Yarrowia lipolytica: one gene and its partners. The protein of the gene in region 3 interacts with the protein of the main gene of each other region in a biochemical or structural test. Links are inferred from orthologs where the notes say so. Each region holds a gene or a part of one and is shown on either strand. Other genes may lie near its edges. The genes, in order: YALI1_F04848g, YALI1_E10161g and YALI1_D33696g.

Region 1 (6,396 bases), on a different chromosome or scaffold from region 3:
AGTTGTTTTTATCACGATTTAATGTGATTCTGTAATGTCACTCTGATAAGACCAATATTCCGCGAATTGGAGTTGTCCGAGTGAGATGCAGTTGAAAACTATTAGAGGCTTCTGGGCATGACTAGAATCCGATACCACCTTAGTAAAGTGTATTCGACATACTCTTAATCTGTAGTCTCAGGAAGCGAGAACAGTTCAAACTGACTTCAGCTTGTGACACCAATTAACCACATCCACACACAAACACCACGCCGAATTGGAGACAGAACATGATTGCGTCCGCCGCTTTGTTGTGTTTGTGTTGTTGGATTTGGGGCGAGTGATGTGAAGGAAGAAGAGTCGAAAAGCGCGAGGTGGGTGTTAAAGTAGAGTCGCCATAGTGTGGTAATGATGACTGGTCATATATGCATGTTTCCAAGTAAAGTTAAGTAAAAAGGGAGGACATTTTTTTTGCTATTATGGCTACGGAATGGAATTTTTGTATGACAAGAATGATAATTTATTACATGTTTTCATAGTCCTCGTTTCCAGCTACATTTCTATACAACTTTTACTTCTTCACCACCTCTGCAACATTGGATTTGAACCCCCAGTAACTTTTTCCTTTAACAAATTCCCAACTATAACTAATCCAACTAGCCTCGTTAATTGTATGCTTCCATCTCGCTCAATAATACTCGGATTGCCACCACGAGAGTTGCTTTCGCTTCGGAATCGTCCGCTCTCTAAAATGGGCCCTTCTCCGATGTCTGCACATTTTCCCGGGACTATGTGCGCCGTATCGTTTGCTCTCGCGCTCGCATCCGTCGTTTCCCAGCAACGATAAGCCCGATATTAAAAACAGACCTAATCTGATGCGCATAAAATAGACTCTGGGGATCCTGTGACTGGAGTGTCCGGATCAGACGGCAGGAAGATACGTCTTTGGAGATTGCGGAGAGACGTCCAAGTCATGTGACACGCGGAGGGGGGGAGGGGGAGAATTGGGTCACGTGACCGGCCCCATGGTCGCCCTCTTTGCCTTTTTTCTGTCTCTTTTTTTGGTCCTTTTTCCGGCTCACGACACCGTGGCTTTCGGTGACGTAATCAGAGTCTAAAATGCACCTCATGTTCTGATAAAGACTCTGATAGCAGATAATGTAGGCTGTGCGTTTGGGGGGAGACTTGAGGGGTTACCTTATATATGGCTAAAAAAATCGGGGGCAAAAAAGCATTAAAATAATGAAAAAGGGCCTAAAAATATTTTATAAATATTTTTAAAAAAAACCGCTAGTAAATTCGAAACGCCGCTGGTAAATTCGAAACGCCGCTGGTAGATTCGGCTAGGGAAACTCCCCCCGGACATTCTTTTTCTGCCAATTTCCCGCAATTTCCCCTTTCAATCTCGCCATTCCACCTTCCCTTATGAGTCATGTCTGTCACTGGTGCTACAAGTAGTGCAAGTACTGTACGTACATACTGTACATAGATTGTAGTAGGTGGATACCGACAGTGACGGATACTGGGTGGATACTGGGTTGTTGGCGGGAAATGGGTCTGCTGCAATCAAACTGTTTATGAGTCACACATGCTTCTTCGTCTCCCTTTCTCTCTCTCTTTCCCGCTCCAGTCTATACGCCATGTGGGTAAATAACTCGACGCCACCTGCTCCTGTAGCTCCTGTCATACTGCCCCTTATAGAGACGTTGTATCTTAACGTTATCAGAGGTGATTTCTCATGCAAGGGTTTGGTTTGATTACCGGCGCGGGCGGGCGCGAGCTGGGCGGTGGCCACGTTTTGTGTCTGGTTGGCGGGCAGTGGTACCGGGTCAGCAGACGGGTTTGGCAAGTAGCGGCGGTTTGCGGTAGCAGGGAGGCAGTATCACGAGACTGGCTCCGTTCACGTGACAATCCCTCGTAGTGCGTCTGGGCTGCAAGGCCATGTTGATGTGGGCCTGAAAGTAGGTTGACTGGCCAAACCTCCTACTATTATTCTGGTTATTGACTCACTCGGAGCAACTGCCCTGTGACGAGACCGCCGGCCGTTTTTTTCTTCTCTTCTTTGCGAGTGGCACAAACAGACGGACACAAACAGACCGACACACGCCGCTGACACCAGACACACTCTTCTGTGGCGTCACCTCCAGACCGGTGACACACACACAAGCACAACTGCGGACACGAACACGGACACAAACAGCACAAACAGCTCAAACAGCTCAAACAGCTCAAACAGCTCAGCAGAAGAGCTCACCACAAACACCACAAACACCACAAACAGCTCAGCACAAACAACACACCACACCACAAACGCATTCTGGTGTCCAGACAACAGCTGCTAGACACAACAGCACTCACAAGTCGTAGACACAACCAGCATGTCGTTCCAAGGCACGTCGTCCGGGTCGTCGCACTCATCCAAGTCGAAACTCAACCAGGTGGTGCAAAACTTTTTCTCCAAGGCCACCCAGGTGGTGGTGCAGGCGCGTCTCAACCCCCGGCTGCGTGAACAGCGCCAGAGCGGCGACAAACACAAACTCAACAAATGGTTCAATCTCGAAACAGACGAGCTGGAGGCCTACCGTGAAGATCTCAAGCTGTGGCGAACCATCGACATCTACAACATGGACAAGATGCCTCCCGTGGTCGTGGAGACCTATCTGGACATGCGCCATCTTTCGCCCAACCAGACGCTGGTGCTAGAAGACGCCTTTGGCAAACGGTGGAACGCCAGCTTTGGAGGAAGGAAAACAGAGGTGGTGCTGGAGCGGTGGGTCATTGAGATTCAGAGACCCGACCCCCAAGCAGGAGGAGCTACAACGTCCCCAGCGTCGTCCACAGAGCTCCCCATGGCCTACAAAAAGTGCATCTTGCTGTTCCGCTCTCTGTACACTTATTGTAGGCTGCTGCCAGCGTGGACGCTGCAAAAGCGGCTTAGCAAAAGCAAACTGAGCACCAGTCCGCTGCGCATCGGCTGCAGGGTGCTTAACGGCTCACAGCCCATCTCTTCGCGTGGGCGGGTTGGCTTGAGCAAACTCATAGCTGGGAGCTCCGAATCCCAGCATCTCCAGACCTTTTCGTTCGACCCCGTGGAAATCCCCTCGGGCGTCTTCAAGATCAGCGTGAGCTACCGGGTCAACTGCAACTTTGCCGTGGACGACTCGGAGGCCATGCTGTCATCACAGTTCCTGCGCATCGACGAGGAGAAGCCCGTGGTGCCCCCCAGCCCGCCGGTCAAACACCCCTCCATGGCGGCCCCCAACTTGCATTACATCACGGGCCTGCCACGGAGACATTCGCATTCTCAGGGCGTGGGAGTGAGTGGGGCGGCCATTGTTCCCACCTCTGTGTCATCTGTCACAGACTACATGGAGAGGAGAAGGAGCAGTGGCGCTAGTGGAGTTGGAGCAACTGGAGGGGGTCTTGCTGGCACCTCTGGAGGCTCTGGCGGAGTGAGTGGAGGAGTTAGCGGCGGATCTGGAGGCTCAGGGGGCTCTGGTGGCTGGGGAGGTGAAGAGGGCTCGCCTGGTCCCGCAGCGACCTCGGCTAGCCCCTCCACACCTCCCTTTGCGCGTGTCCCCTCATCCTCCTCCCTTGCGGCGCTCCGAATCCCCCGCAGAACTATCTCAAACTCGTCCACGTCCTCCACCAATAACGCACGGGTGGTCACCACGCCTGGGTACACGCCTTCGGCGTACGAACAGGCGATTTCGTCGTCCGGAGGGTCGTCACGTTCCGGGTCCGTGCCCAAGTACTCGTCATCGTTCGGTACAAGACAGTGGAACCGTTCAGGCTCGATCAGCAGCACGCGGCGTCGAAACTCAATGCTGGTGGGCTCGGCTGAGTCGGCCATGTCTTCGGGCTCCTCTCTTATGGAACCTGGATCGGGTTTTATCGACATTGAGGATCCCACCGACGTGTCCGACTTTGTCAAGATGGTGGACTCGATCAAACCCGGGTCCCCGTACTCGCTGCCGTCTCCCCGCAAGGGCAGCGATCCTTTGGCGCGGTTCCAGCAGCTCAAGGGATCGCACGCGGGTATTGCCGACAGCATCACGTCATCAATCTACCACCACCAGCCCAGTCCTCCGTACGTGCGGTCCAAACTGAGCGGCGAGGCGAACCTGGAGGCGATTTCAAGCCTTCCCCGGCCCGTGACGGTGCCTCCATCGCCTCGCAAGCTAGAGACGCAGATGCAGCCCATTTCGCTGGCGGACCAGCATACCAGCGAGTACCATCAGCTGCAGCAGCGGACCAGTGCCCGTCCCCAGGCTCATTCGTACTCTGAGCGTGACCAGCTTGATAACTCTCATTACAAGGCGTTGGAGCGATATGATCTTGTAGGAGCTTCTCCAAGCGTGGTGGGCTCTAGATATTATACCGAGCACGACCGGGGACGAGGCGAGAAGCGATACTCGGTGGCTCCATTGCCGGGTCTAGAGTTTGACGAGGACGATGATTTGTTGTTTGCCATGAGTGATATGGCTATGGGGGATTCGGCTTCTGGAGGAAATGTGAGGACATAGTCTTGTGTTTCCGAGCACACCTCCTAAAAGATGATGGCATACACTACCAGAGTACCAACACCAGCAGAGGACATAACTTATATCAATGACACATACTTATTATATTTATACGATTTACAGAAGGGAGATATGCCACAAGTGTAGGCAGTACATACTGTACTCGTAGGAAGACCTTGAAGGGCACTGACCCCTGAACTAGCAACGACCCATATCGGCACCCATGACTCAAAATGGGTATCATTATTATCCGACTGCGGGGGGCTCTGTACTAATATATGTAACTAGCTGTTTTCTTGTCTACACCATCAGTTGTTGACATTTCTTTATCCTACGTCACGTGAACATATCACCACCACGGAAGGTTTCGGGGCCATATGGGGAAAACGGGACGGCACTTTGTCGTTTCATTGGTACGGATATTTGTTGATATTTTTACATTGAAATACTTTCCCGACTCAGGGCTATCTTTTGGTGTAAAAAGTTGTTTGGTGGCATGTATATTGGGTAAACTGACTTCACCAGTCTCAGAGATGAGTGTAGGTCTGCTTTTTCGATACCAACGAGGAGGGGAATCACGTGAGCAGAGCAGAGCAGCCACCATTTTTACAGTCTTATTCCAGTGCTGCATCACTGTAGACACTCTTTCAGGAGACTCTGATTTTATCTGCTATTTTTCCACATTTTTTCCGATTTTCGGCCGGATATTTCACGCTTCCGATACGCCTGCATTAGGCTGCATGATATCGCAGATTCACACCCCAAGTCACACTACTACTACACTACAATACAACACCCTTTCGTCCAACTATGAGCATAGCCAACACGGTGAGCGTGGACTCGGTATCGCATGCTCTGGCGTGCGAGCTGTCTGCTGACGGGTCGGTTTTGGCGGTGGCTTTTGTGGACAAGTCGGTGCGTCTTTTCATCCGACAGGACGACTTGTGGACCCGGCAGATGACGCTCTTTCACAATGACGGAGCCGTGGAACACATGAGATGGCTAGAGTGGGTTGCGAAGGACGCAAGTCCGACCTTGGCGATTTCGTCAGGCCAGGAGGTGGCCATCTTTGAGCCCTACAACCGGGTTTCTCCCGTGACCAAAATCTCGGCCCCGTTTGTGGTGTGCGGATTCAGCCAATCAGGGGACTATCTCATGGTCTGGGGATGTTCCAACACGATTCTTTTTCAAAAGTGGAAAAACTACGACACGGAAGCAGAGGTAGCCCAAATCCTGGTACCATTGCCCTCGTCGGTGGGATGGCCCCTGGCAGCCCCTTTCCAGCAGTATCGTGACTTTCTGACGGTCGGAAAACGCAATGCAAGCATCTCCGCATGGTCTATAGTGGACCATATGCACGAGTCACGGGTTTGCATGCCTGTGTCTTTGTACGAGTCACGGTTGACAGACTCGGCCTATGGGCCTGGCCTGTTGGTGGAAAAAATCGGGTCTTCGCACTGGGTGGTTGTGCAAAAGAATGGATGGACGCTCGTCAAGTGGGAAACAGAAGATGACGAGCCTGGCATCCACCAGGAGATTTCTGCCGACTTGGAGGGCGTCAAACAGGTGATTGTGACGGACCCCAGTGCCAAGTCGCCGTCTTTCGGGTTTGTGACCAAGAAACACACCGTTTTCTGGGTCTCCAACGGCCATTCCCAGCTTGTGGATGCTCCTGAAGGTGCATCTACGCTCGACTGCTGTTTCTATGACTGCCAAACAAGCAGGATTGTTGGTTTGTTTACAGAAAATGGGGAGACACTGACAGACAGTATCAATGTGTCTCAGTGGCCGCTGACTTGGTCTGGAGAGAAGCGTGCTATTCAGGTGACGAAACAAAAGGAGGAAGAGATTGAACACCCCTTGGCAGATGTTCTAAACATCAATCTCAATCAAA
Region 2 (8,876 bases), on a different chromosome or scaffold from region 3:
CCACTTTGTCCAGAGTCACCCAAATGAAGTAGCCTCCATCGCCACCCTCGATATGGGTACCTTCGGGAAGGTATTTCTTGAGGGCTTCCTTGTAGACGGTAGCTCGTGCATTGTAAATCTTGTTGAGATGGTTAACGACCTTATCAAACAGACCCAGCTTAATCATCTCGCCCACAATCATGGTGTTGAGGTGAGCAGGGGTACCTCCAGATCTAGAGGCACCGGAATCGGCCAGTTGGAGGGCGAGAGCGCCGGTAGCAGTCTCCTGCCACCCAACACGCAGACCAGGGCCCAGCAGTTTACTGCAGCTGAGGTTGGAGACTGTGTTTCCATGGGTAGAGGTTACAGTCTCACGATCGAGGGTGACCATTCTGGGAGGCAGATTCTCCCGCTCAATCGAGTGCTCCAGAAAGTCATACACGTCGTCAGACACAATGAGCATGTCGTACTTTCGAGCGAGTTCCAGCAGCTTGACTCTGTCCTCCAGAGGGATGATTGCACTTCCGGGGTTACTGAATGTGGGCACAAAGTAGAAGACAAACTTGTAAATCTTCTTGGTGGGTCGCGATTCGTCTCCCACAACGTCCAGAGGTGACTTTTCGTGTTCATGGCCCTCCTCGGAAGAGTACTTCTCCAGATCCGCTTCCAGTTTGGTCAGATCCAGGCGTCCGAAATCCTCTCGAATTGCGGTCAGTTTGCCCTTGAACCCACAATCAATGAAAACCGAATTGATGAGGTAGTAGCACGGCGAAACAATGAATGCCCGTCGAGTGTAACCAGTCTGGGGAAGAGTGCAAGACTGCAGAATATCTGCAAAACCAAAAGAAGCGCCACAGGTGAGATTAATGCAATTGGCAGCAATCGGAGTCTTTTCCAGCAGCTCCCGCTCCGTGACCCACTTGGCGATCAGCTGCCGGACGTACAAAGCACCCTGATCAGGCCCATAGGTAAGGGGATGTCGGTTTTCGTCGTCGTCGTCTTCCGGGCGGTCACGTGACAGCAATGACGCGGCGGCGGCCAACACTTCCTTTTCCGGAAATAAGTCGTCGCTGGGGTGGCCTTTGAACAGGTTGATCATCTTGTCGTATTTCGTGTGGTGATGTGTCAGAAGAGATAAGATGTGGAGTGCATGATTTGGTGCACATTTGAGTTTCCGGACAAGGCTGTCGGCGGGGATAGATGGATTAATACTAACGACCATAGAAAGTGTTTTAGTAGAGCGATGGAAATGATTGTTGTATGAATCTAGAGTTACAGGCCCTAATATTTGATCAACGAAGAATCTGGAACGTATTCACCGCTCCAACCTCCTCAATTACACTTGTCCATCGACTAATAATTCCTGATTGGAAAGTGGGGGAAGCTTGTTTTGACGTCATCAGCCACGCCTAAGAACGATCGTCAGCTGTGTATAATACACTGTACTGTACTACGATTGTAGTAGTACTGTACTCGGAAGATAATAAGCCGATGCATTCCTCCTATATACTAGTTTGCCTCCTTATACTTATCGCGGGCAAGCTCTCGACCACTGGGATCCATCTCATTGGCCACTCCAAACAGCGTCTTGGAAACTGCCTCCGTAGTTCCGATTATAGGACGGATCAAAGCCACGGGGGCAGCCTTGACCACTGCGTAGGCGGCTGCTCCGGCCGTATCTGCCTCAGATATGTCTTCACTCAGATTGTGAATGGCGGTCTTGGCCACATTCATATGCTTGCCGAACGAAGAGTATGCATCCTGAAGACCAGCATACACACCCAAGGGCTGATTGGCATATAGAGAAATAAGCTTGTTGTTGGAGTCGGAGTAGCCCATGTAAGTGTAGTACTTGGTTGTGGACTCGAGATCCGAGTCGTCCAAATCACGAGACTCGCCCGCTCGTTCTGTACTCACCACACCCTCCAGTAAATTCTGCGTACCAACCGCCAATTTTGCTCCAAACCGTACCAGCTCGTTGGTGGTCGTCTTGGCAAATGCATATGCTCCTTGGTTGAGTGAACGAACCACCCGTCCATCCTTCTTGTACTCTCGAACAGGTACAACAATGAGGTTGCGGATTCCACCTCCGAGGTTCACAAGGGGACGAACAGGAGCCACACCGGCCAGAACTCCTGGTAATTGCGTTCGTCGTACGTCTGGCATCCAGATATCGTTCAGCTTCTGGCCAAGATCAGCAAACCCGGTGATACCACGCAGCTTGATGCGCCGAAGCACCATGTCCGACTCGTCCAGGATGAAAAAGTTCATAAGCTCGGTCGACTTGCCGGACTTGAGACCCGAATAATCCACTTTCTTAGGTTTGTAGTCGAGCTTGACAGGCACATCACGAATATCAAACTTTTGAATGAACGTTTCATCTGGGGGAGCAGTGGTACGCACATCCTTGAAGTTGAAGAACCGGGTCAAAAAGTCAAGCGTGTCCTGATCCACATGGAGCCGGAGAGGCAAAATGGTCACGTGACAAATCACCTCTTGGGAAGACAGTGTAGAAACAGGTTTCACGTTTTGCATGGTGATGTGAGCCATGACTGCGCCTGCTTCTCGTTCTCCACGTGATCGCATGTACGTCAGGAATTTGTTCCACGTAGACGTTGGCACATGGTCAATGATTTCCACGTCCTTGATTTTAACATCCAGAGAGTTGAGAACCTGGCCAGGAGGAAGATCGGGGTCTTCAAGACCAGCATAGACAGTAAGAAGACATGCAATTCCTTGGAGCCAGACCTGGACTAGGGGATTGCTTGACCGAGAAAGAAGTCCACGTCGCGATTTATTGGCCTCCTTCGGTTTGGCTGGCTCAGTCTGTTCCCCGACAACATCATCCAGATCGTCTTCGTCCTTTGCCTGAATGTAGATTGAGTTGAAGAGTAGGTCGGTGGTCATTACGGGTGGCTCTTCTACCACTGGACGCTCCTTCATGCGTTTTTTGAGGCCGTCGACAGCTCCATTGATTTCATTTCGTGTGTACTGCCAGTCGTAACCGTCATGAAAGTTGCAGACAATGTTGTGAATCAAGTCAATGTTGATAACCACCGTGGGCGGTGTGAGTAGCTCATTTGAAGAAGCTAGATCATGAGAAGATGCACGAGGACGGCTCATGACGGGCATGTCTTCCTCCTCTTTATCGAAATAATCCTCTTCAAAGCAGATCTCCTCGAACCGGACTCTCTCCCTCTTCACCAGACTATCCAGATCGGAATCAAGGAGGAAATCAGCATGAGTGTAGCTTTCAGCCATCTTTTGACGTCCACTCTTTCGACTCTGACTCGGCTTGTCACCCCCATAATAACTCTCTACAAAAGACATGTTGTTGGGAACATCGTCTGACACCATATCAATGTCGTCATTGTCAGAGGAACAAGACGATTCACACGCGTCTTTGTTTTTCGCCTTGAAGAAGCAGTCATCCACGTCTTGGAATGTGTTGAGAAACGGGTCCAGAGTCTCCAGCTGGAACTTGGCACCGCTCAATTCAACAGCCGGCTTCAGACTGTTGATCAGATGGATAAGAGTCTGTGTAGAATCTGCGCAAGTGCTCAGTGTGACTGTATCTCCATTGATATTGATGCAGGTGGGGTTACCAGGCGAAGTAGAAATGGAGATAGACGTAGCAGTCAAGCTAGCAACAGAGGTGTACTGTTCGAGGTAGGAAGACATAAGATCCGTAGGATTAGGTGTAACCAGTGATGCATCATCAATCAAAAGAAGAGATGCTGATCCAATGAAAGACGTCATGGAGAAAGTGGGTGATGGTTTGATTTCACATGTCACATGCTTGACAATGAACTGGGCTGAGGAAGATGAGTTTGTAGGATTCAGTCCAACAGCGCAGTTGTGAATCTGCAAAGGAATTCTTTTAGGAGGTGATTCCGAGCCAGAGGAGGACTCACGTGAACTCGAGTCTGGTGAAGATGACTCTTGCAACTCAGCTGCCTTGGTGTCATCACCTTTACCTCCAAATAGCTCCAGTAGCTCAGTGTAAAACTCAAGTGCACAGTTCTTCACCGTAATGAGCTGAATCTGACCGCTGGAGAGCTCCACCACAACATTACTTTCCTGTGTTAGTATATGTAAAATGTCAATACTCCATCACGCATTGATACTCACTCTTTTAAGCGGATGCAAAAGCCACTTCTTTGATAATCCCAGATCGCTCAAATCTCTTCCGATTTCGACGGTGGAGATCTCAATCCTGTCAGTAGGTCCAGTAACAGAAATCCCACCTAGAACTACCTCAATGACCCCGACTTTTCCACCTAGATCAACCTTTCCTTTCACCCTCGCCACATTGATGACTAGAGAGGAGGCATTCACAGGCTCCTCGACGATCCGAAGCAGCTTGGGGGGTGCGGTCTGTACTGATGCGGGAACTGGTCGGTTCTTTGCACTGTTCATCGCATCGATGATAGGTAGAAGTAGCTGGTGGAGCTCCTCAACGATCGGCAGACCAATATCAAAATCCACCTTGTCAACCGACACGATAGAATTCTCAAACGAAATTCCCTTGACATGAACATCGCCGAACGAAACACGTGATAGTGACATCTGGCCGTTAGATAGTCGAATAGGCAAAATGTACAGCTTGTGTCCGGCGACGTCGAAATCAAAAGTGTTTGTTTGAACAGTAGTCTTCGATGCGCCGGCCCTTTCACTACATTCAGTCATAGTTGCCGCCTTCTGCTGCTTGGACTCAATTAACGACAAGAGATAAGTAATCAAGCTAACCACGTCGATGAGATCAGGGATGGTAAACACGCCAACAGCCTTCTTGGGTAGAACCAACGTGAAAGAAGCCGAAGAGGCTTTGAGGAGAATATCGGAATCTCGTGGTGTGGGTTCCTCATCGTCTGTGTTCTTCTCGTCGCTTTCGAAGCCAAACACTCGAGTAGAGCCCCTCTTCACCTCACAAACACCAATCTGGAGCTTGTGGAAAGCTCCAGACGATCCAGAAATATCGGAGAGAGAGAAAAGCAGATTTGTGTCAATGTTCTTAAACTCCCAGTCGTCACCCAACTGGCAAATCGATGCCGAAATCGACTTGATGCTCATATTCAAGTCCATAGCAGTCCCCTCTTTTGTTTCTGAATCACGAGACTTCTTACCACCACTTCCACCATTTCCCACCTTAACCAATGATAGAATCACAGTCGGCAACAGGTCGAGACTGGCTCTGACAATACCGACCTCACAACTGACTCTCATTTCCTCTCCTAGGAAAACCAGAACGTCAATAGTGTCGACGTAAAACACCCCAAAGAGTGGATCAGACTCAAATCCGAGATTGGCAGACTCGGCTATCGCACTCATGTAAATGCTGCTGGCCTCCTCATGCGAAAAAATGGTTGATTGAAGGAGAGACTTCTTTGCATTTGAGAACGGGTCTGTGTCTGAATCTGAATCTGATTCTGAGGTGAACCCTGTTGTTGCATGTGCTGTGGATCCTGCTGTTACCGGGCCGCTTGTGCCTCGAGCCTTCTTGTCCATTACCTTCATCTTGACTCCCCTCACTTCCAGGGCCATCTCCTGTCCTCCTTGTGGTCTCAGTCTGACCTCGTCCACAACTAGATCCATTTTGTCGTCTGCAGCCACAAATAGCGTCACGTGCACGTTTGTGACATCCACTGTCAGTTGACTTAGCACTGTCTGTGTCACCTTTTTGACTAGTGCCTCACTGATTCCTGACCCGCCCATGCCCAGCAGTGGTGGCTCTTCTGCTGGATCGATCTGTAGTGACGCGGACAGGTCTTCCGACAGGATCGATGCCGCCAGATCAGCCGTCGTCCTTTCCAGAAACTCCTCCACGTGCTCGGTGGCGGTCTCCACGTCCATCTGTTTCATGGATGCCGTGATATGCACGCCATCGATCTTGACGGCAATTCCCGCGCCCCCCAAAAGCCGCATCTCCACCGACACCTCGTCGATCTTTCCAGAGCGCATGTACATGCCTGCTGGAAGACTGACACGGTCGGGATCGAGTTTGACGTTAGTTAGCGCCGCCTTCTGCGCCGTCCCTAGCGAAATGTCCATATTGTCGAGCTCCAGGTCCGAAAACAGCGCCAGGCGGTTCAGCACGTAGTGAAACGCCCGCTTCTGCACGTTGGGGATCCAGTTCATGTGTTGAAGCGGTGTATTAGATGCGGGAAGTGTTGTTGTGTGTTGTGTGTCAGGTTATGAAGGTGGTGTTTTCGGAGGGGTCTGCAGCTGTGCCATGATGCACTATCATGTGGGTCAAAGTTTAATTACCGTCCAGGCAACGATAAGGTGAGATGTAACTATCTTTGTTGGGAGTGTAGGGAGTGTAGAGGGCGGGCCAAGTGGGGAAGAACGGGAGACCTTAGCGAGACCGTAAATGCATAGAGAGAAGGGGAAACGACTTACTAACTACATTCAACTACTTCCAGAACTATCCCTTTCTCATTGATAGCCTCCAAGAGTCCCTGCTATCTCCCCTGAGTACCCAGTCAGATGACGATTATTAGGTCTGAGTTTCATACCAAATAGAGCTAATCTTGCATATCTTGTTGGAGTGGTTGGAGTAGTAGTTCTGTAATTCTGTATCTCCAAGTTCTGTAGTTACTGTACAGTACTTGGAGATAGAGGTGTGACATAGGGTGATAAAAGGGAAGTTGGATCTCGTGAGGGATTTGTAGCTTGCAGTATTTGTGCTTGTAGTGTGTTGTGCTTGCGGTCTCGCTCCCTTGGTTAGGGCTCTCTTGATTAGCAAGAGGTCCGGATGAAAGCACTGCTTGGAGGTACGGTATCTTGTATCTCCAAAGTATATCTATCAAAGAAAGGATGCTGAACTGAGCAAGTCTAGATTATATGTCGTTACTGATGACTGTAACATATCTTGATTGATGTAACATGTCCTTTTCCCTGACCCAAGAGCGAACCATCATGATCTGTAGACATGTAAACATCTTCCCTTAGGGACTCGACTATTACCAGATAAAGAGTTCCAATTCAACTATTCCAATAATTGGAACAGATAAAGGGGATACTGTTGCAGTTCAATCTGTAGTGTAACGAGAAGTCATGTTCTTCCTCGAGACGAATATGGGTGTAATGGATATAAGATACGGCAAGTTGGTAGTGTTATCTCAGCGTGAGGTTCATTAACAATGTTCTAAATCGAAGTCGTGTACAAGTACAAGTACAGTACTTATAATCCTTCAATATTTCAACCCTGTACTGCCCTGGTACTTGTAAACAACTCTCGGCGGTATAGTACTTGTAGGCAGAGGCTAGTCTCTCGAGAAAGCACTGATTATTTTGTTACGCGACTGTACTGGAACTTGATAGGAGGGTTTCGAGTAGTAAGTACTGTTCGGTAATGTGTAGTAGATGATGAACCTCTACTGATTGTAGTACCATACCCCTACCAGCATCAGTCAAATGTGCCTCAAGAGTTCTCATTCCTCTCCGCTTTCAGCTGTCGAAAAGCAATTTCTGAAAGCGAACTTCACTTCACCCGTCCAAAGAGACAGTCGCATATCACCATTGCCCTGAAACAAGTGCATGTGACCTTGGTCCAGCCCCGGAGAAGTTTTAATCAAAAAGCCATTCGCAACTCCTGACATAGGCAGCAACACGCAACTCAGCGTGGAACGTCTGCCTACATTTCCCCAGACTAATGTCGGCAAAACCTGCTTTCCACAAGAGTCGCAACCCATGTGAGCGCTTTAGTTGCAGGCTAGACTCGAATAATCTGGAGACATTCCAGAGAGCAGACCCGGCAGCAATGCAGACATACGACAGGGGTCTCAACTGCTGAAGTGCACCTGCTGTGTTCGACCCTTCGTGATGGCCCAGTATCCATTTTATCACCATACATCACTCAGGTTCAACTCCTTAAACCCAATCGACCTCGGACTGTACTGTACCCCACGGCAACTGCGAGTACAAGTAGCGTGCAACCTGCCACCCGCACTAGTGAGTAACCTCGGGGAAATGTTCCGCCACAAAAGGTGAGTTTTCGGGCGTCTTCAGACGTATCAAATTGTCAAATACGAGTTGCGCTAAGCAGGGGTACTGTACCCGCGGGAGGTAATTCCGTTTTGATAAGGGCACATGGGAACATACCAGAGTAGTCCATGGTTCTGAAGTCAGAGATCGGCCACTGTAGCAGCATGCCTGGTCCTTATCACTAGTCAGCGATTTTCTTACTCAGAAGAAGCCCGAGTTCGTTGCGCTCTTTTCGATACCGAATCACCACCGTTATATAAGTGCATTGCCGCGGAGAAGTGCCAAAGAGAAGATGGTGCCACTTGCTAAGTCTGGATGTTTTACTGTGCTAACAAAAGAGCCTCCAACTAGAGTCGTTAAATTAGAGTTCCGTTAATTTCAGCAGTTTTGAGGGAGGTTGAAAAAGGGGTGGTAGAGGCGGTAAAACTCGCTGAAAACTTGTCAATACATCTGGAAAGCAGCAGAGAATGGCAATTCAAAAAATATCAGGTCCAACTGGCCTATAGCGCCCACTACAGCGGTTCCCTCCCCAACCCGCATGGCATAAAGTTTAGATTGTTGAGTTTATGGACTACCACTTTTTATCGCACATACTTTTGCACGATACGAGCAGTCCATAATTCCGAGACATATAAACCAGAAGAAGGTCAGAAAAGATCATAGATTTTGCTTCTTTTCGTCAGAAACATAAAAACCCGCAAAACTCGTACGCAAAACGGCCGGTTCAGCACAGATTAAGACCAACTCAAAGCTGTCGTGATCGTACGTGCATCGTCCGATCTCAACCCTTACCCTACCGAGCCTCGCAACTCAAAACGCCACACTACATTACTGAAGAAAAAAAAACCCCAGGACATTAGAATCCAGTGCTCCCAACGGCAGTATTATTTTTCCTCTAGAACCACCTC
Region 3 (6,345 bases):
CGAACGGCCGTCTACCCTTGGGCGGGGGAGATGCGTCCCACGTGCGGACTATCTTCTCCCGAATGGGGTTTAACGACCAGGAAACAGTCGCTTTGATTGGTGCTCATTCGCTAGGCCGATTGCACCCTCATCGGTCCGGCTTCGATGGTCCGTGGACTTCTAATCCAGCCAAGTGTGACAACGAGTTCTACAAGTTGTTGTTAGGCAACGTTTGGACTCTGGTGGACTCGCCTACTGGACGGAAGCAGTACGTCAACAGCACCGGTCAGGTGATGATGCCCTCGGACATGAGTCTGATTGAGGATGCCAATTTCCGTTTCTGGGTCGATCAGTACGCCGTATCTGAGGAGCTGTGGCGGGACCATTTTGCCCTGGCTTTCGAGAAGTTGACCGAGTTGGGCAGATGAGGAATGTTAGTGGAGTACCCAGTAGTATTACAAGGTCTTGCAGTGATGCAATAATCCGAATCGTAGTAGTCAACAACAAACAGAACAGATCCTGTTCTATCCGAACCAATTGTACAAGGGTGCACAAGGCTTCCGAGAACAAAAATCTGTTTGGGGTACCAACCAAAAGAGTTGGTTTTGTTAGGGTATAGTTGAGGAATGAATAACCGGAGGTGGAAATTCGAACAGCAACACTTTCACGTGCTTGGATTGTGGGAGCAGGCATGTTCAGCAGTGGTATGACGGTTTTGCCATGTTGATTCTGAGAGAAGATGTGGGTTATACTATTCTGAATTGTTTCAGGAATGGAATTATCTTCTCGAACCGAAATCCATGAGACTATACTTGGGTTAACTAGACTCTCAACTATATAATTGTAGTTCAACTAGCATGAAGCCTCATAACAAACCAGAAAGATTTCATCTGATCTGAAATCCCGAATACTTCACCGACCAAAATAATCCAAGTTTAATCGGTGAAATACATGTCCACAAAAGCTCATGTTTACACAAACCACCTTCTCACTTGTGCAACTCTCGACTTACATTTTATGTTGAAGGGGGTGGAGAATACATGTCGTTCTAGACTGATGGATATATATCGGAATAAAACAAATACAACGGGAATCAAATAATTGCGTCAAGAGAATCAATTCCGTATAATTAGTTTATTGCCAACTCCTATCCATCATATCCTGATTCCCGTCTCAAATCCCAATATAAGCAGAATGAGGATGCCACATGTCCGTAAATCAAAAATAAATAAATAAAATAATAAATATAAAAAAATATAAATAAATATAAATAAAATATGAATTAAATATGAATAAATATGAATAAATATGAATAAATATGAATAAATAAAATGTAAATTAAATGTAAAAAAATGTAAATAAATGTAAATAAATGTAAATAAATGAAATAAATAAAAAATAAAAAAAAAAAAATAAATCAAAAATCAAAAATAAATCAAAAATCAAAAATCAAAAAGAAATTTCAACGGGTATTTGATAGTCAAGATTCTTCAAAAAGAAAAAAAGAAAAACATGACCAACAACTTCCACCATACAAGAGTTTTAATTTGGCCTCACCAAAGCAGTTTTCTGGCAATCTCAAAACATCAAATCAGCCCACCTCCTGCTCCATACGTCCGAATATGTCAACTCAAATCTGTTAGTCACTATAAATATACCTATGTTAGTTTGTCGTGTTGCCGTTGCCGGCGCTGTTGCTACCACTGTCGGCGCTGCTACCATTGTCGTCTCTGTCACCACTGACGTCACTGCTACCAATGTCTTCGCAGCCCCCACATAGAACTAATTACTCCTGCTGACCCCTCAGTATCACCAACCGTTTAGTAATACTACTAATGAACCGCTCCACAATTCTGCGATCCTCCTCGCCAAGTCCATCTTCGTCATCCTCCAGAAGCGCCTCCAGCATCCAAATGGACGTGGTGTAGGCCGACTCGCAGCCAGTGAAGTCGCCGGAGATCTCCTGAACAGCTGCGTCCCGTGACATTTCCAGGGCGCGGTCGAAAATCAACTTTTCGGCCGTGGTGTGTGTAGTTCCTGAGGAGACCTTCTTTTTCACCGTTTCGGCCCGCTCCAGTGACTCGTTGAAAGCGCTTCGGGTCCACTGAATGATTTCATTGAAGTGGGAAGACACCATCTTGTTGTCTTTGTGGTTATTGGACCACCAGGCTCCGGCTTGATCCATAGCGAGCGACAGCAGAGACAGTGTCTTGACGTACAAGAGCATGGCTTCTTCTGCAATGGAGGAAGAGACGGAGTCAGGCAGATTCATGTCTGGGTTGTCCACGTCGTCCTGGATCTGTGAATACTTGACATCTGCCAGGAGAGCAATTGAGCGGGCTTTGGCTGCGATTTCCTCGAGAGTTTCGACAATCTCGCGCTCCGACAGAGATAGGGTTGTTGTGGCAGGAACAGGAGGCGATTTGCCGGTCGTAGAGGTTCCAGAACTAGTTCCAGAAAGAGCTGCCCCTGCTGACAGCCTGGCGCAGTTTCCGGAACCATTTCCAGAACCATTTCTAGAACCATTTCCAGAACCGTGTCCAGCACCGTTCTTCTTCTCTCCCAAAAGTCTGGCGGACGCCATGGATAAGGCTCGAGCCATGGCTCCAGTGGGGGCTCCGTAAGTCAATGAGAAGCGCCGCTCGGAACTGGGACGTCTCTCGTCTGGCTCGCGTGCCAGCTCATCGGCCAAAGTGTTGACTTCAACCTGCCTCTTCTCCACGACAACGTATTCACTTTCAAGGAAGAGTGACTCGTTTTTGCGCGTGAGTAGAAGAGAAGATCCGGGAGAGGGGGAGGTGAGTTCCAAGAGAGGGTTCTTCACGGTAGAAGACAGTGTCTTATTAGTGGAGTTTTTGGGGGAGGATTTCTGAGTTGACCGCTTCTGGCTGAAGCTGTCCATCTCCCTGTCCAGGTCCAACTTAGGAAGATCGGCCTCCTGAATGTACTCGGAAATGTACATTCTGGGATCCAGCTGAGATCGGTCCAATTCCTCCCCGGAGCCAATAACCTGCTTGTTGGCAATAATGGGATGTTCAAAGTACTCCTTGAAGCCGATTCTATCGGCGGGATTCTTCTTGAGCAAACATCGCACGAAATCTTGCATGTCTTCCGAGGGCGGTTCTCGGCCAAATCCGATCACGTCGTTGGACTGCTCGATTGTCTTCAAGAGTTCCACGTAGTTATTGGCCTTGAACGGCGGCTTGCCAACCACCATCTCATAGGTGACGGCTCCAACCGACCACAAATCGGCCTTGGCATTGTACTTTTCGTAGCGCAAAATCTCCGGAGCCATGTAGAGGGGGGAACCGCAGAGGGTCTCCGCCAACGCCGACGCCGGCAAAATGCGCGCAAATCCAAAGTCGGCAATCTTGAGAATCGGCAGCTCCCATCGTCCGTAGAGATTGGCGTTTTGGGCATCCATTTCGGAAAGCGAGGGCGGGCACAAAAGCAGATTCTGGGGCTTGATGTCTCGATGAACGAGGTTCTTTTGTCGCAGAAACTCCAGGGCCGCTGAAAGCTGATGAACGAAGTGCCGAACCAGCTCCTCATGGAGCCCTCTGGTGTTGGATGGATACCGTCTCAACAAGGACGCCACTAGCGGCAACGTTTCCGACAGCTCCTTCTTTTTCTTGAGAAAGAAACTGAGGTCGCCCAGAGAGCAGTACTCCATCACTAGGTGGAAATGCGTGGGGGTCTCCTGGAAGTCGAGCAGTTCCACCACGTGGGGGTGCTTCATCTGCTTCAAAATGCTGATTTCCGAGCCCAGGTTTTCCAACAACTTGCGGTTGAGCTTAGCCCGGAGAACGGACTTGATGGCCACCGGAGAGCCGCTGGCCACGTGCTCGCCTTTGTAGACGGTGGCGAACGAGCCGCGGCCTAGCTCGTTGCCAATAGTGTATGATTTGATGCTGGACATTGAAAGTCTGAGTGAGGGCGAACGGCTGTAGTCTGTAGACTGTCTGATATACTCTGTGAGACTGTCTGCTGTTGTCTGACTCTGCTGTGCCTGTGAGACTTTCTGTTGTAGTCTGTGTGACGGTCTCTTGTAGTCAGACTCTGTTGTCTACTGTCAACTGTACGTCGAATGTGGTGATCTCGACACTGTTGAAGTAGTGTCTAAGCGGACCAAAATGCTTTCCAAACCGCTGTCTCCAAACTGTCTCCAAACTGCTGTCTCCAAACTCGTCTGTAAACGTGTCCACTAGATGTCGAAATGTCTAGTGTGCAACTCGTGCTCGTGCTCGTGCTCGTGCTCGTGCTTGTGCTCGTAAAATCGTATGTGGGCTTGTAGTGTGTACAAGTACCAGTCTGGTAGGGTCTGAGAAGAGAGAGCGCTAACGTTAGATAACCGCTATCGGAGATAGAGTTTGAGTGAACGTAGCCAACTCCCATGTAACCGCAACCAGAATTGTGGTTATAAGGAGCCCAGCAGCCAGACAAGACGTTTGTGTGCAGTAAACGCCTGGCTGCTCCACGGTCGGTCATCCGCCGGTCGCCGCGGTCCCCCTAAACCACATATCGCCAGCTCCAGATGGACAAACACACTGCATATATGACGCAGGGGCACGTGACTTGCCACGAGAGCAGGAGGAGAAGAAGGAGGGGATAGAGAGGGATAGAGAGAGGCGCTATCCAACCCGGTAGACGTGGGCTCTCAAGTGACCTGGGGGGTTGTTGCTTAGTCATCGCAAATGTAGGGACGGAGCTGTCTTCAGTTATTTGTAGTCACCTGTTTTGAAGCCCCTTTGCTAATTATTTTTGGTGGCAAACGCGCGCCCTGCAGCTGGGGTTAGGGTTTGGTTAAATGGGCTGGCTTGTGGTGAAGTCGTTGGGAGAGTTGGAGCCAAAAAATTAAAAATGATATAAAAAGGTAGAGAATAATATATTATAATAATAATTAAATTAATTTAAAAGATATATAATAATAATAATTAATTTAATTTAAAAAGATTATAATAATAATAAAAAATTGAACAAAAAATCAAACAAAAAATTATCCACAGGGGGTGCTTTGGCTGGAACGAACCGTGAGGCGAAAACAGCAGCAAACAACAGCTCCGTGGCTAAACTGGGCTTGTAAACTTGATTGTTCTATTGAGAAGGGTATTAAGAAGCAGCATATGTTTATTCAATACTCATCATACTCACAAAAGGCATTACTTTACACAGCTACCACTCACGTTAGTGTGAGGTCTTCACTATCTAATGCCCTCTACGGAATTATATTCAACATAGATTGGCTTGTAGGCTTGATCGTTCAACTGTCTCTGAGTATTTTTCCGGAAGGTTTTTGTTTTTTTTAATTTTTTTTCTAATTCATTTATCATCCAAGTAATGACGAAACACTGCTTAGATGTCCACCAAGTATATCAACAATTGGTTCGAAGAAGAAAATGTCTCAAGAGCCATCTACAAGGTATTTGTTTGAAGCTGAGAAAAGTCCAAAATGTTTAATGAGACAATTTACGACACAGAAGCTCTTCTGAGGCATACAGAAAGGGTCATGGTGTTTGCATTGTACTGTTTATAATGACTGTGATGAACTTGTACATACTGTCCTGTTCGTATCGACTGTAATTAACTTGAGTTCATCCATCAGGCGATGCAGATATTCTAGCGGCAGTTGGAACTGATCCGAAGATTCACAAAGAAGTAACTGAGATGGCTCATGGCGCTTGTTACCACATCTGCAAAGGCACCTTGGACATGATCTCGTGAGTCTCGGTGACGGGCTCGGTGTCGATGTTCTCATGCTGCGGAGGGGCAAAGATGTCAATCTCCTGGTGCAGGATATAGGCTAGAATCTTCCGTTTGAAGTTCTTTATTTCCTCGTTTGTCAGCGTTTCCGACTTGGCAATCACGGGGATCAGGTTCACCTTCTTGTGCAGCTTCTTCTTGACGGTGATGTCCAGGGGCTTGAGCGAGTAGCCCGTGGGCTGGATGAAGAGGAGCAGGCGTGGATCCGCGTGTCGTTGATGGACGTTCAGTTCACCCGTCCAGGCAGTTTTCGAACCGCTTGTCAATGTAATTCACAATCGTTTTCCACGAGTCGCTGTTGTTGACAGACACAGCCAGGACGTCATCATCAATCTTGTCTAGACGGCAAACGGGAGATTGAACCTCCCTACACAACTCCATGTGCCACAAAACCGCCGTGTTTCGGAGTAGGACAACGTCGAAGCTGAGTGCAGCTCTACAAAAAGGCATTCTCCAAGATGTTGCCCGGAAGAAAGACGACTGGGGCGTTGGTGGGCCCTAGCGATGGCGCTTACTCAGAACCCCGATAAGTAGTCTTGAGATTTACCTACATGACAAGTTCCGAGAATAGTTGACATTTGGATAGTTCATACTAGAAAACTTGAC

What was found.
Region 1: the proteins of YALI1_D33696g (region 3) and YALI1_F04848g form a complex in vitro, tested with the Saccharomyces cerevisiae proteins (6 studies listed by BioGRID, with this or other methods). The link is inferred for Yarrowia lipolytica from reciprocal best matches to the Saccharomyces cerevisiae genes ATG1 and ATG13.
Region 2: of the proteins of YALI1_D33696g (region 3) and YALI1_E10161g, one has a biochemical effect on the other in vitro, tested with the Saccharomyces cerevisiae proteins (2 studies listed by BioGRID). The link is inferred for Yarrowia lipolytica from reciprocal best matches to the Saccharomyces cerevisiae genes ATG1 and ATG2.

The regions. Positions count from the first base shown.
Region 1 is NC_090775.1:480,810-487,205, reverse strand, and holds YALI1_F04848g (uncharacterized protein), read left to right. Parts: upstream 1-2,357; coding exon 2,358-4,505; downstream 4,506-6,396. Other genes in the region: YALI1_F04860g (uncharacterized protein), read right to left, coding at 847-1,032, 1,083-1,109; YALI1_F04855g (uncharacterized protein), read right to left, coding at 1,270-1,512, 1,568-1,666; YALI1_F04849g (uncharacterized protein), read right to left, coding at 1,978-2,188, 2,234-2,295; YALI1_F04818g (uncharacterized protein), read left to right, coding at 5,313-6,396. UniProt on the Saccharomyces cerevisiae protein: Activates the ATG1 kinase in a nutritional condition dependent manner through the TOR pathway, leading to autophagy. Required for autophosphorylation of ATG1 at 'Thr-226' and its dimerization. May also be involved in the regulation of autophagy through SNF1.
Region 2 is NC_090774.1:1,013,388-1,022,263, reverse strand, and holds YALI1_E10161g (uncharacterized protein), read right to left. Parts: upstream 6,118-8,876; coding exon 4,111-6,117; intron 4,060-4,110; coding exon 1,489-4,059; downstream 1-1,488. Other genes in the region: YALI1_E10210g (uncharacterized protein), read right to left, coding at 1-1,201; YALI1_E10148g (uncharacterized protein), read right to left, coding at 7,099-7,247, 7,293-7,419; YALI1_E10140g (uncharacterized protein), read right to left, coding at 7,933-8,168, 8,216-8,234. UniProt on the Saccharomyces cerevisiae protein: Lipid transfer protein required for autophagosome completion and peroxisome degradation. Tethers the edge of the isolation membrane (IM) to the endoplasmic reticulum (ER) and mediates direct lipid transfer from ER to IM for IM expansion.
Region 3 is NC_090773.1:3,365,692-3,372,036, forward strand, and holds YALI1_D33696g (uncharacterized protein), read right to left. Parts: upstream 3,899-6,345; coding exon 1,766-3,898; downstream 1-1,765. Other genes in the region: YALI1_D33653g (uncharacterized protein), read left to right, coding at 1-407. UniProt on the Saccharomyces cerevisiae protein: Serine/threonine protein kinase involved in the cytoplasm to vacuole transport (Cvt) and found to be essential in autophagy, where it is required for the formation of autophagosomes.